Linked DNA regions of Caenorhabditis elegans. The protein of the gene in region 1 purifies or fractionates together with the protein of each later gene. This does not show direct contact. Each region holds a gene or a part of one and is shown on either strand. Other genes may lie near its edges.

The links.
Region 2: the proteins of F57C7.4 (region 1) and prp-39 fractionate together in Caenorhabditis elegans (co-fractionation; one large-scale study listed by BioGRID). This does not show direct contact.
Region 3: the proteins of F57C7.4 (region 1) and plc-4 fractionate together in Caenorhabditis elegans (co-fractionation; one large-scale study listed by BioGRID). This does not show direct contact.

The regions. Positions count from the first base shown.
Region 1 is NC_003284.9:10,586,565-10,591,188, reverse strand, and holds the start of F57C7.4 (PKD/REJ-like domain-containing protein), read left to right. Parts: upstream 1-1,623; 5' UTR 1,624-1,650; coding exon 1,651-1,920; intron 1,921-1,981; coding exon 1,982-2,146; intron 2,147-3,280; coding exon 3,281-3,445; intron 3,446-3,491; coding exon 3,492-3,553; intron 3,554-3,598; coding exon 3,599-3,756; intron 3,757-3,803; coding exon 3,804-3,937; intron 3,938-3,986; coding exon 3,987-4,116; intron 4,117-4,162; coding exon 4,163-4,230; intron 4,231-4,272; coding exon 4,273-4,393; intron 4,394-4,439; coding exon 4,440-4,537; intron 4,538-4,582; coding exon 4,583-4,624. Other genes in the region: sdn-1 (putative syndecan), read left to right, coding at 659-834.
Region 2 is NC_003283.11:5,678,087-5,684,262, reverse strand, and holds prp-39 (Pre-mRNA-processing factor 39), read left to right. Parts: upstream 1-1,632; coding exon 1,633-1,694; intron 1,695-1,977; coding exon 1,978-2,055; intron 2,056-2,587; coding exon 2,588-2,783; intron 2,784-2,835; coding exon 2,836-3,068; intron 3,069-3,348; coding exon 3,349-3,649; intron 3,650-3,708; coding exon 3,709-4,237; intron 4,238-4,506; coding exon 4,507-4,981; intron 4,982-5,033; coding exon 5,034-5,129; intron 5,130-5,178; coding exon 5,179-5,258; intron 5,259-5,306; coding exon 5,307-5,389; 3' UTR 5,390-5,665; downstream 5,666-6,176. Other genes in the region: hmgs-1 (Hydroxymethylglutaryl-CoA synthase), read left to right, coding at 4-156, 203-428, 475-709, 757-945, 1,000-1,211, 1,261-1,400.
Region 3 is NC_003282.8:7,509,013-7,514,506, reverse strand, and holds plc-4 (Phosphoinositide phospholipase C), read left to right. Parts: upstream 1-1,839; 5' UTR 1,840-1,845; coding exon 1,846-1,961; intron 1,962-2,008; coding exon 2,009-2,288; intron 2,289-2,356; exon of another isoform or gene 2,357-2,449; coding exon 2,450-2,836; intron 2,837-2,882; coding exon 2,883-3,183; intron 3,184-3,233; coding exon 3,234-3,331; intron 3,332-3,662; coding exon 3,663-4,026; intron 4,027-4,070; coding exon 4,071-4,615; intron 4,616-4,664; coding exon 4,665-4,829; 3' UTR 4,830-4,983; downstream 4,984-5,494. Other genes in the region: R05G6.9 (EGF-like domain-containing protein), read left to right, coding at 1-16; R05G6.4 (Nitric oxide synthase-interacting protein homolog), read right to left, coding at 190-370, 420-757, 806-1,147, 1,200-1,271; R05G6.5 (Uroporphyrinogen-III synthase), read right to left, coding at 5,032-5,070, 5,122-5,237, 5,289-5,368.

The DNA of each region.
Region 1 (4,624 bases):
GAGGAAGTACAGATGCCTTGAAATGGGTTTTTAAAGAAAACATAGACCCCTTATGACGCGTGTCTCAAAATGTGGGGAAAGACGAATTGTTCAGTAAAGTTGACATCTCTTCTCAAAACTTGCTATGCTTTCTTCTTTTGTGGTTATCAAAATCTGAGCAGCATCCCACATCTAACAAAGGAGCCCCAGCTCTATTCTCTTGAGAAAAAGGGCCTGAGGTTCGGGATGGTGGGACGGAAGCCGCTGAAGAAAGAAGGAAGGCAAGGTCAAGGGTCGCATTTTGTGCATATTTGATTTTATGACACTGAGTGGAGGAAGTGTCTGTGAGGAAAAGGGGAACCTTTTGAATGAAAGGTTTTGAGAGAAGATGACGGTTTTGAAAGGATTTAGTGAGTTGGAAAGGAAAACTAAAATTTTTTTTCACTTAGTTACAAAATTAAACTCTTATTGAAATTATTCACTACCAAGAAAGTTCAATTTAGGACAATGCAATATTTCTTACATGCATCGCATTACTGATATTATATGTTGTCCTTACGGGTTGAGATCATAAAAATATGTTTGGAATAAAGCACAAAGCTTATTTATTTTTTAGTAACGAAAAGATTTAAAGTTGTAGAATTATCTATTTTAATTTGATTTAATTTGATATTTTCAGCTATTGCCGGAGGTGTTCTCGTTGCGGTGATTACAGCCATTCTACTCGTGCTCTTTGTAGTCTTTCGAATCAGGAAAAAAGATGAAGGGTCATACGCATTGGATGAACCCAAGCAAGCAAGACCATATGCCTCGTATGGTTATACCAAAGCATCGACAAAAGAATTTTACGCGTAATCTCTACTGTCATTTGTTCAAAATCTTCTATCACTCAATCACCTTTCAAATCATTTTTATGATTCTGTTCTCAGACTTCATTCCAATCTGCCATACCTTTCAATTTGTTTTTTTCCCACTCCCATTTTTTTCAAACCCTCCCCCCCCCCGCCTTCCTTTCGTAAAGGTCATTACTCTCTGTTCTACTCGTGATAATTTGATAATATAAACTGATCTGACTCCATGGTGCCAAATATTTGAATATAATCTTTTGTAGACCCACTTAGGGGTAGGGATGCATGTATCTTTGACTCAATTTATACTATACTCCCTTGTTACTATAATGTGCTCATATTATCCTATTCTAGAAATTTCCACCTAATTTCCAAAATCCCTCAACACTCTCACGCGGTTTCTCTGGTTTCTGATGGCACTTATCTGCTAGAGTTTTTTGTTTCAAAACTTGCCTCTTGAAATTTGTACTTTTTCTTGTTTTATCCGTTTACCTTTTTCTTTCCAATAACATCTTCTGTAACAATTTGAGATGCTCACATATTTTATGTATTCAAATTTATAAATATAAAAATATTACATTAATGTTCCAAAACAATATAAATAAACAAATAACGAAAGAAAAATGATCATGAGAAATCTCACATGGACAATGAAATAACAAGAAGAAGGAAACGAAGCCTTAAATTGAAAATAACGGGTTTCCATAGAGACAAAATAAAGCTGCGCGTTTTTTCAATCAGAATACGTAAAACTTTTTTGCCTCGTGCACTAATACTTTTCGAGCTTTCTTTTTTGGCTTCGGTTGCCATGTAATTTTTCTGAATGATAGAAGAGCGCCTATTGAAGTATTTGTTATTACTGTTCCTAATTCTTGGATTCTGCGAATGTAAGATTCTCAATCAATGCTATTCATCTGGAACAAGCTGTATTCGGTTTGAAAAAGCTTATTTTGAATTTGTGGACACTGTTCAACTAACCAGCGATAATGTGCCAACTCTAAAAGACAACGCAGGAACAACATCAACTCGTGTTGTGCTCAGTGAGCTTCTAAGTCATTTGGCATTCAATCATAGTTGGACACTTGCCGCATTGGTTAGCTTCCTTTTCGAAAATTCTGAATAATTGACGAACACGCAATTCAATTTGCATTCAGGTGGTCAACGCAGGCACACGCACTGACGTTCAATGGAAAATAGCTCCTGATGAGACAAGTGAGCATCCAATTGAAATAGACGATCCAGATGGATATGACAATCCGTTTCCTAATGCGACAGTTCATTGCGTCGACATTCAAAATTATGCTGATGACGCAAAACGGGTAAGTATTGGTCATGTCTCATTCATCTTCATTTTGAAGGTGTCTCCGAATGGTCTTCTTGTTACCACATAGAACCATATAAAATATATGAGAACAAAAAACGAAAAAAAAACGTATTGAAAGATGGGAATAGGAACCATATGGTTGTAATGTAATGGCGCGTTTCGTGTCGCCGTGTGTGTATGTTCAAAATGCGTCAAAGACCTTGTGAAAGACCAACTGCTCTTGTCTTTTATTTCGATTATGCAAAGGGTGTGAAATTGAAGGTGTATTGGTAGTGAGAAAATTGATTCTGTATTTAAGTGCCTTACACTTGATAGTCGGGGGAGCAACCAATATATTCGACTTTGACATTAAAAAAAACCTTACTGGTGTATCAGAGACCGGCACTTTTAGAAGTAAATTTTTGAATGAAAACGTAAGGATAATTTTTGAATTTTCAGGCTTTGAAAATAACATTACAAAACCTAAATATATCACGTTTAATTTGAATGTAATAATAAACAAAAAATTGAAAATTTTTGAAAATGCAGGGAATCAATACAACAGTGCCAGGAACGTTATAATTAAAAAGTTATGTTATATGGAAAAATGTGAAACACATGTTATATCTGCCACAGGTTTATACATGTTAGGTTTTTTAGGTAAAGTACATGCTTATTGTTATAGTAAAAACATCAACAATAGAATAAACATTATAATAGTTCAAATCAATTATGCACGTGTCGATGCTAATCCATCGGTCACAATACTTATAGTAAACACATTTTTGTGCTGTTTTACACAACAACAATGAAGAAACGATAATAGTTTAGTAAAATTATTTCCATTGGAATAGTGATTACTTTTTCAGAGCCCAATATTTAGATAACTTTTTAAAGCCAAGTTGATGCGTCATATGATAAAGCAGAAATATACAAGAGCGTGTTGTATCAAATATCCTGGATAAATTGAATTTAGAATCTTAGGACTATTATCAATGATGAGTTTAGATCCCCATCAAATTTGCGGATTTATTATAGTAGAAAGTTCCAGTAACAACATTGATCGGTTGAATTATTAAACTACATTTATAAAAAATAATTTTAAATCGTCTTTTAATACCTCAATTCTTTCTAACAGTGGCATTTTCAGTTTTTGGTAGTACCACCCAACTACAATTTCTTTTTTTCTGTTAATGGCTCCGCTTCCATAAACTGTTCAAAAAGTGGGATTTCAATTATTCCGTTTGTTTGGGATGATACCAGTAGGGCAAGTATACGAGGAATGTCCTATTTTTCTTCATCACCTTGCTCTAGTGTGAGATTGACAAAGATCAAATATATTTTTTAATTCTTCAATTTAGGAATGCCTCGTGTTGCCTATCCCAACATTGTTGGTTAGATTCTGCCCAAATGTCAACAACAGGTACAACTAACTTATATTAAAAATTATAACTATTTTTTAATACAGCAATTTGGAAATTCACATTGATAAAGTTGAAGATTTTACTGCCGAGTTGTCTGATGATTTACTTGGTATAAACATTCAAAAGGTTAATGATTCAATTGAATTTCCAATGGGCATTATGAATTGTGAGGTTTTGATGGAAAACTCTTCCATTCTCGGAGGTAACTAGTTTTTCCACCAAATCATTCATAAAGTACATATTATTCAGAAAACCCTATTTGTCTGGGAGATGGGGCAAATGTCGCCATTAAATTTGGTGCCAATCCAAAGATCGGCATACTACAAGAAGTGAAAACAAAATTCTCACCTCGATCAGCATTTCTCAAAAGTCCAAAAAATGCGGTAAATTCTCATTGAAGGGCAAATAAAATTGAAAGGCGCACAGTTGCAGGTGTATCCAAACTTTACAGTTTCCCATGAAAAAGAAGTGGCTACATGTTCTAATTCAACAACGTTCGAAGTAAAACAGATTTCAGGGAACGGCTTCATGCCTTTGAGTTTTCAGTGGACTATTTTGAATGGTTGGATTTTTTTATAATGTAATATCAATCAACTTCATAAATTAAGGTACCTTGGATATGGAAACCATTGCAAAAGCCGCAACAGAAAGACTTCTGGAAATCCCCAGTCATCATGTAAGATATAAAAATAAAACTTGATTTATTTTATTTTTGAAGCTATCAACAAACAATGTGATACTGGTCACCGGGTGTAATGTAGCGGAAAAATGCACTTCAAGTGGACCAATCTATACCGCACTTGTTGATGATGCATCAGTGTTTTCAGTTTCTATTGATGGTACTTGATACTTTTTAAAATGTTGAGTAAACTCAAATTATTCTAGGCGTTGAACAAGAAACCCCTGCTTCATTCGGTCTTCGTCTCCGTGCAAACCCTACTTTTAAGCAATGCAGCTCCAAAACGTCCCCAAAAGATGTTCAGGTGTTTCAATACATAAGCTTTAAAAAATGACATTATTTTTTTCAGTACGAGTGGAAATTGAATGGGGAAGGCAAAATGTATGATGAC
Region 2 (6,176 bases), on another chromosome or scaffold:
TAGATCTCGACTGATTCGATTGGCTGTTTGGTTGTAGGTACCGAAACAATGATCGACAAGAGCAAAAGTGTGAAGACAGCTTTAATGGACTTATTTCCTGGAAATTCGGATATTGAAGGAGTCGACATCAAAAATGCCTGCTTTGGAGGCGCACAAGTGAGTTTTTTGTCTCTCAAAATAGAATCTTCAATTATATTTTCAGGCACTGCTGCACGCTATCGATTGGGTCACAGTGAATCATCCGCTTGATAAGAAAAACGCAATTGTAGTAGTCGCGGATATTGCAATATATGAAGAAGGTCCAGCGAGATGTACAGGCGGTGCAGGAGCGATTGCTTTTCTTATTTGTCCAGATGCTTCTATTCCGATTGATCGGCAGTTTTCAGCGTGTCACATGAAAAACACGTGGGATTTCTTTAAGCCAATTAGTAAGCTATTAATTTCTCTATTTACTTTTAAAAAATTAAATTCCAGCGCCGATTCCGAGTGAATACCCCGTTGTCGATGGATCATTATCATTGAGCTCATATTTGGAAGCAGTCAGAATGACATACACATATTTCATATCAAAAGTTAATCGCCATACAACGGGTATCGACGGGCTGAACTCATTTGACGGAGTGTTTCTTCACTCACCGTTCACGAAAATGGTTCAAAAAGGCCTGGCTGTGATGAACTATACTGACTCGCAACTTCGTCACAAGCAATTGTAGGTTGATTAGTTTAGAAAAATTTTCAAATGTTTATTTTATTCAGAAATGGAAATGGTGTCGATCATAAACTCGATGAAAACGATCGCGCTGGACTTGCAAAAATGATCGAATTGTCTGCTCAAGTTTGGAAGGAAAAAACAGATCCATATCTTGTTTTCAACAGGCGAATCGGAAATATGTATACTCCATCACTCTTTGCTCAACTTTTAGCATACTTGGCAGCAGATGATTGGTATGATGAAGAATATACCGATTTTTAGAGCTAATTTTTAAAATTACTTTTCAGCGTCACCGGGGAGAAAAGCATTTTATTCTTCGCCTATGGAAGTGGTCTAGCGTCAGCAATTTTCCCAGGAAGAGTTAGGCAGACATCTAATCTTGATAAAATTCGTCAAGTCGCAATAAGGGCGATTAAAAGGCTCGATGACCGAATTCAGTTTACTCCAGAAGAGTTTACAGAAACATTACAAAAAAGAGAAGTTTTCCTACGATCAAAAGGTGAGTAATTCTAATAGTGATTGGTTTTTAATGTCATTTTGTTTTTCAGAGATTCCAAAATCTCCATCCGAAACTTCATTGTTTCCCAACACTTATTTCCTTGATAACATGGACAAGCTTTATCGCCGATCATATACTTTACACGAGGAACCAAACGGTGTTCAAAACGGGAACGGAATTCATCATTAAAAATGTATCTTTTGTTTTTTTTTTTTTAGTTTTTAATTTTATCACATCGTTTGCCATAGTCTACTTCTTTGTTACTGTTTTTTATTCGCTCATTAGAGTTGTATTTTCTTTTCTTTTTTTTAAATTAAAACGAGTTGTTTTTTTCTGATAATTGATTTTGTTGAACACGTGTACTATTGTCACGACAATATTTTCCATTTCTCGAACGGCTCAATTTAATTTCAAAGTTAAGATGGGAAGAGATCGGTCGTCAAGCTCGGACACAGACGACTACTACCGCTCCAGCAGCAGCAGGTATGCACCGGACTTTTGAACGAAACATGTTTCATTTGGAGGACCATGATGTGAAGCGGTTAAATATAAATTCCAGAACAGCTTGTGGGAAGCTTCGTGAGCCCCACGAAACCACTGCTCTGAGCATCTTCAAAAACTCACCGCAAGCTCGGTTCTGAAATTTCGCCGCTTAAAATTCATATCTCACCGTTCCTGAATTTTTTCACATGAAACATGCCTAGTAAAAAATCCTGATGGCACCATCGGCCCCTCAGAAGTAAACCATCCAAAATTAGAATTTCAGAAAAAGAGAAGATTCACACCGCCGTCGCGACGATCGGCATCGGGACTCGGATCGAGATCGAGATCGACGAAGGAGAAGGTACGATGTGTTCTTAGTTTTGGATTGCATGATGTACTCATGATGTCAACACTCACGGGTTCTTTTCCCTTTCTGGATTAGGACGTTTCCCACTCTAAAAAGGGTTAATTTCTGATGAAAAACAATGAAAAATCAGAAAAAAACAAAGAATTCTCGGCAACAAACATACACGTTGCATAAGCCCTCATTTTTACAGAAAAGGTTTGCGTTCATTTCCGCTCTTCGCCACTCTCCGAGTCTCAAATGAGAAAGTGATAATAATTGTGTTATTTTGTGTACATTTTATAAATAAAATAAACCGCCGCTTAGTACTTTTTATTTAAATCCGACTTTAGCGTTTAGCGTCAACTGATGGGAAGGAGCACACAAAAGCTGTGGATGAATACGGTTTTGAGCAACACGAAGAAGCTTAATAATAATAATCATGATAATATTTCTAATTTCGTACTATCAAAATTGTTTTCTATGTTTTTGCATGCACATTGAAGAAACTCGAAATAATTTACTCTACTTTAACTAACCAAACTTTCAGCCGTTCTCGTTCCAACTCGAATCGTCATAGAACAACAGGAGGATCTCAACGGAGTCGTAGTAGCCGACATGGATCAGATTACAAGGATACCTCGTTGATGACTCGACCTTCTGTGGCAAGCCATTTCGGTACTCCTCCAATTGATGTGGCTGATTTCGACAATTGGGTGAACATTCTTGCGAAAGTGGATCAGAGTGTACGGCATTCTTTTTGTGGCACGATTAACTTTATATTTTCACAATTTTCAGGATGATGTGGATTTTGCCCGCGAAAAGTATCGCTCTTTCCTTTCGAGATATCCAAATTGTTACGGATTCTGGCAGAAATACGCCGAATACGAGAAGAAGATGGGGAATATTGCCGAAGCTAAAGCTGTCTGGGAAAAAGGAATTATCAGTATTCCGCTTTCGATTGATCTCTGGCTCGGATATACTGCAGATGTGAAGAATATCAAGAACTTCCCGCCAGAATCCTTGCGAGAGTAGGTTTTCTCCTCATTCAGATATTACACAGGCGTCTCAATTCTCACGCGCATGGGTCTCGCCACGCTGAAAATGAGTTACTGTAATTTTCAAGTCATGTCGGTTTTCGACCCGCTATAGCATTAATTTTTCAAATTAAGTGAAGAATTGCTACCTGATGCAGTAGCGGACCGTAAATCCGCATGAGTTACAGTAACCCCTTGTCAGCGGGGCACGTCTACGTAATAAACGTTTTCTAATCAAATACTAAATGAGCAACTCAAAATACTTTTTTTTCAGTTTATACGCCAGAGCAATTGAAATCGCGGGGCTCGAGTACCAAAGTGATCGGCTTTGGCTGGAAGCAATTGGCTTTGAACGTGCCGTGTACATGGATGAGCTTTGCAAAGGAAACACTAATGCGAGTTGCAAGAGAATTGGAGTTTTGTTCGACAAACTTTTATCTACTCCAACATTCCATGCACCATCTCATTTCGATCGATACGTACAGTACTTGAACACTATCGAGCCACATCTTTTGCTCAGTGATCGAGAATACGAAGAGATAATGAAGATGGTCTGCAAACAGCTTGGGAAATCGGTCAGTTGTTAGATTATTGTCGAATTTATTTATTCATCTCAAAATTTTAATTATTTCAGATCGAAGAACTCGTGCAACAAGTCCAATTGAGTTATATATGTCAATCTGGAGAGAACGGAATGCTCAACATCATGACGGAATCCGCTGAAGGAACATTCCCGATCACTGTGAATAGTCTCCAACACGATCCGACAGCACTACAGCTTATTCGCGGAGAAATTGTGGCTCGCCGTAAGAGAATTTATGACAAGAACATGAAAGAGTGCGAGATACGTGCTGGATTCGAAGCAAACATCAAAAGACCATATTTCCATGTGAAACCACTCGATTATCCACAATTATTCAACTGGATGTCTTATTTGGACTTTGAAATTAAGGAAGGCCACGAAGAACGCGTTAAAATTCTTTTCGATAGATGCCTGATTCCATGTTCTCTCTATGAAGAATTTTGGATCAAGTACGCTCGTTGGACATGGAAAACGTACAAATCGAAAACAAAGTCTCGAGAGATTTATATGAAAGCGAAGATACATTGTCCTACTTCACTGAATTTGGCTCTCAGTGAATCCGGTTTCGAAGAGTCTGTTGGTAAGTTACAGAAATTACTGTTCAAATTTTTGAATGCATAATTTAGTTCAGTTTTTATAAATATTAGAAAAAGTGATTTGAAAATTTGAATTTTCTGGAAATTTCTCTATGCATGGAAAGAACGTGTTTCTATTAGTCATATTAATCAAAAAATATACACTTTTACATCGTTTCCGAGGCTTTTTGAACTTTTTGAATTTCAAGTTTAGTCAGCGTTAAAAATTAATAATTTATCAAAATTTCCTCAATTTACAAACAAACAATTTCAGAAAATTTCGACGATGCCATCAAAATCTTGGACAATTTCCGTGAAGAATATCCTGGATACGTCCTCCTCGAGCTGCGTTACCTCGGGGTTCTCCGTCGTAAATCTGAAAAAGAAGGACACGGAGCGCCATCGGAATTTGTGATGAATCAATACGAATCGCTTATTAGAGATTCCCAATCGTCCCCAAATCTTCACTCGTTCTACAGTTTAAAACTCGCAAGATATCATCAAAAGTCGCGTCGTGATCCTAAACTTGCTCAGAAAGTTCTGAAGAAGGCAATCTCGATCGACCCATTCAATTTGCAATTGTACAGTCAATATGTTGATATTGCGTATTCTTCTGAATCGATGTCTGAATTAGATGTTATTCAATCGTTCGACGTCGCACTGGACAGTAATCTCAGATTAGAGGACAAAGTTCGATTCAGCCAACGGAAACTCGATTTTTTGGAAGAACTTGGAAATAATATTCTTGCGTAGGGGATTCTTGAAACTTTCTTAAAATTCTAATGATTTCTTTTTTTTCAGAGTTGAGGATCATCGTGATTTCCATTATAACCTTCTTGGTCAACTGCCGGATAATGTGACGATTCGAACTCGATTTGTGAACGACCCAAGCAGAGTGTAAGTATTTTCAAGTGTTTATAAATAATTGAAATTCTGAAATGTTTAGTGCACTGGCTCCAGCTATGCCTCCCCAACAACAGATGGTTTATGCTCCAGCTATTCAGCAACAACCAGCCATGAATATGAGTTAGTAATTTTTAGTTTCAAACAAAATTTTAATATCGTACATTTTAGTGCCAATGATGCCAATGCAAATGCCCTACATGGCTTCTTCAGCTGTTCAATTGACTCTTATCGAATCTCCCAGTACAAATTAAACCCAAGGACCGTCTTTATTCAATCAATATACAATGACTCTCATCTTTTAAACCTTACAGAGTAACTTGTGAACTAGTTACCGTGAATAGTAATTGCTGTTCTTTTTTAAATTATCCTATTTATCTGTCCACGACCTCCTGTTAGCACTGATTTGTTCAATAATATTTGCAATTGCCCTTTTCCTTTTTCATCCGCGATTCATTTCGTTTTTATTCAACTCTCCTTCCACTGATTGTTATCAAAATCTGATTTTAAAATAAACCCAAGGTTCATCATGTGTGAGTATCGCAAAGATTAGATTAGCAATGCGTGATTCACCTCCTTATTGTATGAGTCTCTCCCGGTGTCTCCTGGGGAAGCAGCAGTAGTGTTTGTTATTTCTCAATTTAAATCTGAACCGCAAACTCATTTGGGAAGCTCCTCTTCCTTCCGAAGTGACCTAGTCTGACTGACTATCATCTATTGTTTCCAATTCTGCTGCTTCAGGATTTTATCGCGCCGCGAGCCCACGAGTCGAACGGATTATTACGGAGTTGTTCGGTGCGAAGAGCCCGCAGCCGTTGAGCAGGCCAAAGGTCGATCGGGAGTCGGAACTGAGAAAATAGAACGGATAGAAACATTGTACCTTAAAGATTGATGATAATGATTTTTCTTCTTCTCCGACGAACATTTCGTTTTGTAAAATTTTCGAAACTCTTGAGAAAGACACGAGTCCCAAGAGGTAAGCACACTCGAACAACATGCTGCTGCGGGGGAGACCGATTTTGGAGGCAGCTAGCTCCTTAT
Region 3 (5,494 bases), on another chromosome or scaffold:
CACTCTAATCGGATAAGCTCTTTTTTTCTGATTTCGGATTTTTGCGATTGTCTGTATATAATTGATTGAACCAGTTTGAAGTTCTAAATTTCTAAAAAGAATAATATTTATAGATTTTTTCAAATAAAAAAAAAGAATGATTGAGAACACATGTACAATCAAATAAATAAAACAAAGAGAAAAAACCAATCATTGCAACTCGAGCTGTGGTCTAATCAGTTTTGCTTTTGTTTCGTTTGTTGCGGAATATCCGGTTCCTCCTCTCTGAAGTTCAATGATGTCGTCCTCGCTCATCGGTTCTCCATTTATTGGGTCAATACCATCACCTTTGATTAATTTCTCAACTACGTCATACTTAACCACCGACTTTCTAAAAACAAATATGAGCATTGAACTTGAAAACATGAAGCTAAACTTACGATTTCTTGAGATATGCGCATCTTGTGGTGTTTGTCAATTCATCTCTGGTCACTGGACACAGAAATTTTCGGTGTGCGGCAGTTTCTGTTCCTGGCATTGGAGTGAATTTCACTTCTAATAACTCTTTCAATTTTATAGGTTTTCCAGAAACCGGACAAAGAACTTTGGAGCTTGGTTTTTCCAATTTCGTGGCGACAGCGGTGGGATTGAGTTCGGGTATCCAGAAACTTGGTAGTGAAGTGCTTTTGTCTCCCTTCATATTCGACATTACTCCTTCCTCGCCGTGTGCTTTCACTTTTGCGGCTATTTCAGTAGACATGACACCACCTTGTCTTTTCTAAATAAAATCATTAAATGGATAGTTTTTTTCAGATCTCTAACCAACCAGACTTCCAACCTCAGGCCTTGGTGTGGCCACAGCTCCGGTCCTACTTGGTGTACTTTCAATTGCTGAGAATTGTGTTCTTTTTGTGAAGGTTTCCGCTTGGCCTTCCGCTATTTTTGCCGCTGCACTTTCTTCTGCCACTTGTTTCTCATATTCCTTTAGTTTCTTTGCGTACGCCTTCTTCTGGGCTAGAATATTCTCAAGAATCGCTTCACGATCGAAAATATATCCGGTCGGAGAAATTACTGGATTTCTACATGGTTGAAGAGTCAAAGAGCAACAGTGAAACTCTTTAATTGAATCGGCACCAAGACGAGCGTGGAGTGTTCCGTATCCACTAGCCTGAAAATTAATATTTTATGTATAAAAGTTAGTATTCAGGCAAAAAACTCACTTTTGCATCCCTTCTACGTTCATGGTAAGTGTATACAGAAGCAGCCGTTGAGTTTTTTCCATGTCGGGTCATTTTCTGTATTAAAATCGTTTTTCAGCCAGTTTATATTAATTTAGATGTTAATGAGTGAACAAATTTAAAAAAAAACATAACATTTAACGAAAAATGAATAAAATAAAAACAAGAAAAACGAATATTTTAGCTTAAAATTGTTAATTCAAAAATAAAAACATAGTCATGTCGTTTTACGGTAAACAACGCGCGGTGGGATAACGGAGCATCGTACCTCTTCTCCTTTTTTTTTTGGAAAAACTCCTCCCATTTGTTGACCTACAGGAGAAATTGGAGAGTTCTCGTCTTAAAGTTGTCTTCAATATTGCCAAGTACGACCTATTTTTGTATTGAATCCTTGTGTGTGTATACCAATCAATACTTCCATTGCCAAACAAAGACAATCTTTTCAAAATGTTTCTCTGGCCCATGCCCGCATCTTTTTCTCTCTTCTTTTTCATTCGATGACCCGCCCGCAACGGCTGCCACAAAATGTTTTGCAATTGGTTCCTATCTCATTTTGTCTTCTTTTTGTTGATTTTTCTTATCATATACGGCCGACCTTATTTGTAAAATCATTTATTTTCAGTGTAAAATGGCCAAGAGCGTATCCCCAGAGGAGCAGGCCGCCGCACAAGCTGCTGATGAAGAGAAGACGAAAGAAGAATTAGAATGGGCTGAAAAAGGATCGCTTTTATGTAGAATTAAAAAGTAAGATTTCACTTCAAATAATTTATATTTCATGTAATTATTTACAGTCAAAAAGTGAAGGAAATGGCGTTGGTGACAATAAAAAGTAAACAATTCCTCAACTATTACTCAAGTTATTGGTTTAATTTTGTGCCAAATGCTTTGAAATCAGTTGCACTATCGGAATTGTTAGAAGTTCGATCGGGTTATCAAACTGACAATCTGCAAAGAGCATCGAAAAAATACGAATTCCAAGAGTTGGCTCCAGAGTCTAGATGTTTCTCCGTTATTTTTTCTCATGCCAAGTTCTTGCACAAATCAGTAGATTTCAGTGCTGATTCCAAAGAAGTTAGTTTTGATTTAAAAATCATTTAAAAACACAAGTTTTAAATTTTCCGAAAAGTCGTTAAGTACATCATTAAAATTGAAAGGAAATTTTTTGGTGAAAGTTTTCTGAAAAAAAATCTGCAAAGTCTTGACAGTTGTATCAATTCCAATTAGTTTTACAGACTAGAGACAAATGGGTTTCCGTACTGACACATCTCATATCAGTTGCCAAACATCAAAGAGTTGTATTCAACGAAACAGCATGGTTGATTGACAAATTTCAACAGGCGGATACCAATAAAAACGGACTTCTTAGTTTTGACGAAGTTTGGAATCTTCTTAAACGAATGAATCTTCAAATAAGTGAACGATATGCAAAAGCGATATTCAGAGAATCAGAGTTTGAGAACTCGCGAGATAATAAATTGAACGAGAAAGAATTTCTTAACTTTTTTGAAAGATTGACTGATCGACCGGATCTTCGATTTGTGATGACTCAAGCAAGTTCTGATAACGTGGAAACGCTGACTGTTGCTGATTTGCAAAGATTTTTAACTGAAGAACAAGGAGTAGGTCATTTCCATTAAATCCTTATAATATAAACATTTATTCCAGTTCGAAAATGTTGATTTGAAAAAAGCCGAACAAATTCTGACTACATTTGAACAAACTGTTCAAGATAAGCAAAAAGAAAAATTGATGGGATTGATGGGAATGCGTCGATTAATGCAGTCAAGATGGGGAAATGTATTCAAACCAGGACATGAAAGTATCTTCCAAGATATGGATCAACCTCTGACTCATTATTTTGTTAATTCATCACATAACACATATTTGACTGGCTTGCAAGTGAAAGGAGAAGCTACTGTTGAAGGTTATATTTCAGCTTTACGTAAAGGAGCAAGGCTTTTAGAATGTGAGTTTTTGAATTTTTTGTTGAACAATTAGTTTCTCGATTCTTTTCAGTAGACTTGTTTGATGGCGAACACGGAGAGCCAGTAATCACACATAAAAGAACCTTTATCGAGTCGATTACATTGAGGAATTCGCTGGAAGCTATTAAGGTAATTATTATTTGTACTTTAATGAAAAAATCGAAATAAAATCAATTTTTCAGTTTTGGTTTTTCCCTTTTTGAACTCCCTCCAAAATGATAAGCCACGCCCACTTTAGAACCAATCAGTGTCTTCGAACTCTGCACACTTCATCTGAAAAGTAGGCGGAGCGATTCGCTGATTGGTCTTGCAGAAGTTATTATGGAGGAAATTCAAACTGGGAGATTAACCAAGATTCAAAACTTGTGTTTTTTTTTCAAATTTAGGTGTTTCATTCTTCCGCTATTTTTTGATATTCTTTTGTTCTCACTACATTTTTTTAAAAAATGTTTCATTTCAGAGAACTGCGTTTGAAACATCACCATATCCTGTCATCCTCACCCTCGAAAACCACGTCGGATTTGTACAACAGGCTGTTATGGCAGATTTATTCAAAGAAATTCTTGGAGATTCTTTATATATTCCACCAAAAGATTCACATCGCCATCCGTTATCATCTCCGAATAAGCTGAAAAGAAAATTCCTATTGCGCGGAAAGAAAATTATTCTTGAAGAAGACATTGAAGAACCAGATGAAGATGATTCACCAACTGATAAGGATAAGCACCATGTACATCCACATCCAGTTGCACCTGAATTATCAGCTCTCATTGGTTTGCCGTCAGTAAAATTGAGCCATAATATTTATCAAGACGTCAACAAACGTTAGTTTAAAACGTCAAAAATAGATTAATATGCAAACTTTCAGATCCATTTGATGGAAGTCCTTCGCTCTCGGAAAATAAAGTATATACAATGTTTGAAGCTGCAGTTCCCATCTTCACTTACACTGCAGAAAGGCTTGTGAAGAGTTATCCAAAAGGATTACGTCAAGATTCATCAAATATGCATCCAATGGTTTCTTGGCTTTGTGGAATTCAAAGTGTTGCTATGAACTTCCAAACCGCTGGTGAAGAGCTTGATTTGAATGCAGGATTATTCAGAATTAATGGAAATTGCGGTTACGTTCTGAAACCAAGTTGCCTTCTCGATGGAGTCGATCCAAGAAGTATGGCCAAACCAAAATTGAAGCTTGGTATTGGACTTTTCTCTGCTCAGTATCTTCCAAAGTCAGAACCCGGAAAAGAGATCATTGATCCATACGTCAGTGTTCAGATTTTCGGAATTCCACGAGATGAAACAAAAGCAAAAACAAGAATCATCAAGGACAATGGATTCAACCCAGAATGGAGGGATAATTTCTATTTCACACTCTCGTGCCCAGAGCTAGCAATTATTCGATTCTGTGTAAAAGTAGGTTTTGAAACATTATGGATCTAAATTTTATATTCCACTTTCGCAGGATTTTGACTCTACATCTTCGAACGACTTTGTTGGAGAATTCTCAATTCCTGTTATGAGTCTTCGTACAGGTTTCTCGCAAATTCAACTAAATACCGGATATCAACATACTCTGGACCCATCTGCATCTCTTTTTGTACGAATTGCAATGGAGGAAGAGTACTAATTCTCCTGCTTTTTAAACATATTTTTGAGACCAAAGCCGTTTTTATCACTACCTGTGTGTTATCTGATTACATGTAATATATGTTCTACTGCCCTTTCTTTCGCATAGTTTTGTAGTTAATTTTTAATGCATATTTTTAAAAAATTTATTGTTTTATTGGTTTATGGGTATTTACACTATATTATTTTTTAGAAACATAAACTTATTGGCGTAGTTGGTGTAGATAATCTGCGAGCCATTTCTGAAAGAGTCAAAAAAATCATGTTACTAAATGGTGTATTCGAAAACAAACAATTGGATTATCCGGTCTCTCAACTGCTACGCGAGCCAGTCCCTGGCTCAGTTTCGGCCATACTTCTACTGAGAGATAATCCTTGGCATGTTTCAGCATTGCTCTTTCGTCAATGTCTGAATATATTTTTATGGGAGAGTCAAAATTCTAACTTTATGGAATCTTACACTTGGGGAAAAAGAAAATTATATCGTGATAGGCGGCAATTGTCGTTTTTGAATAATATATTCCATCACTTGAACTCATTCTGAATTAAACGCTTGTGAAGTTTTAAAACTCTTCGGATAGATTTTTTGAAAAACCTCCAAAAGTGTGAAGGTTTCGTACCGAAACGAGACTACGGTAACGGTTATTTTCAACTGTGCGCAATGTT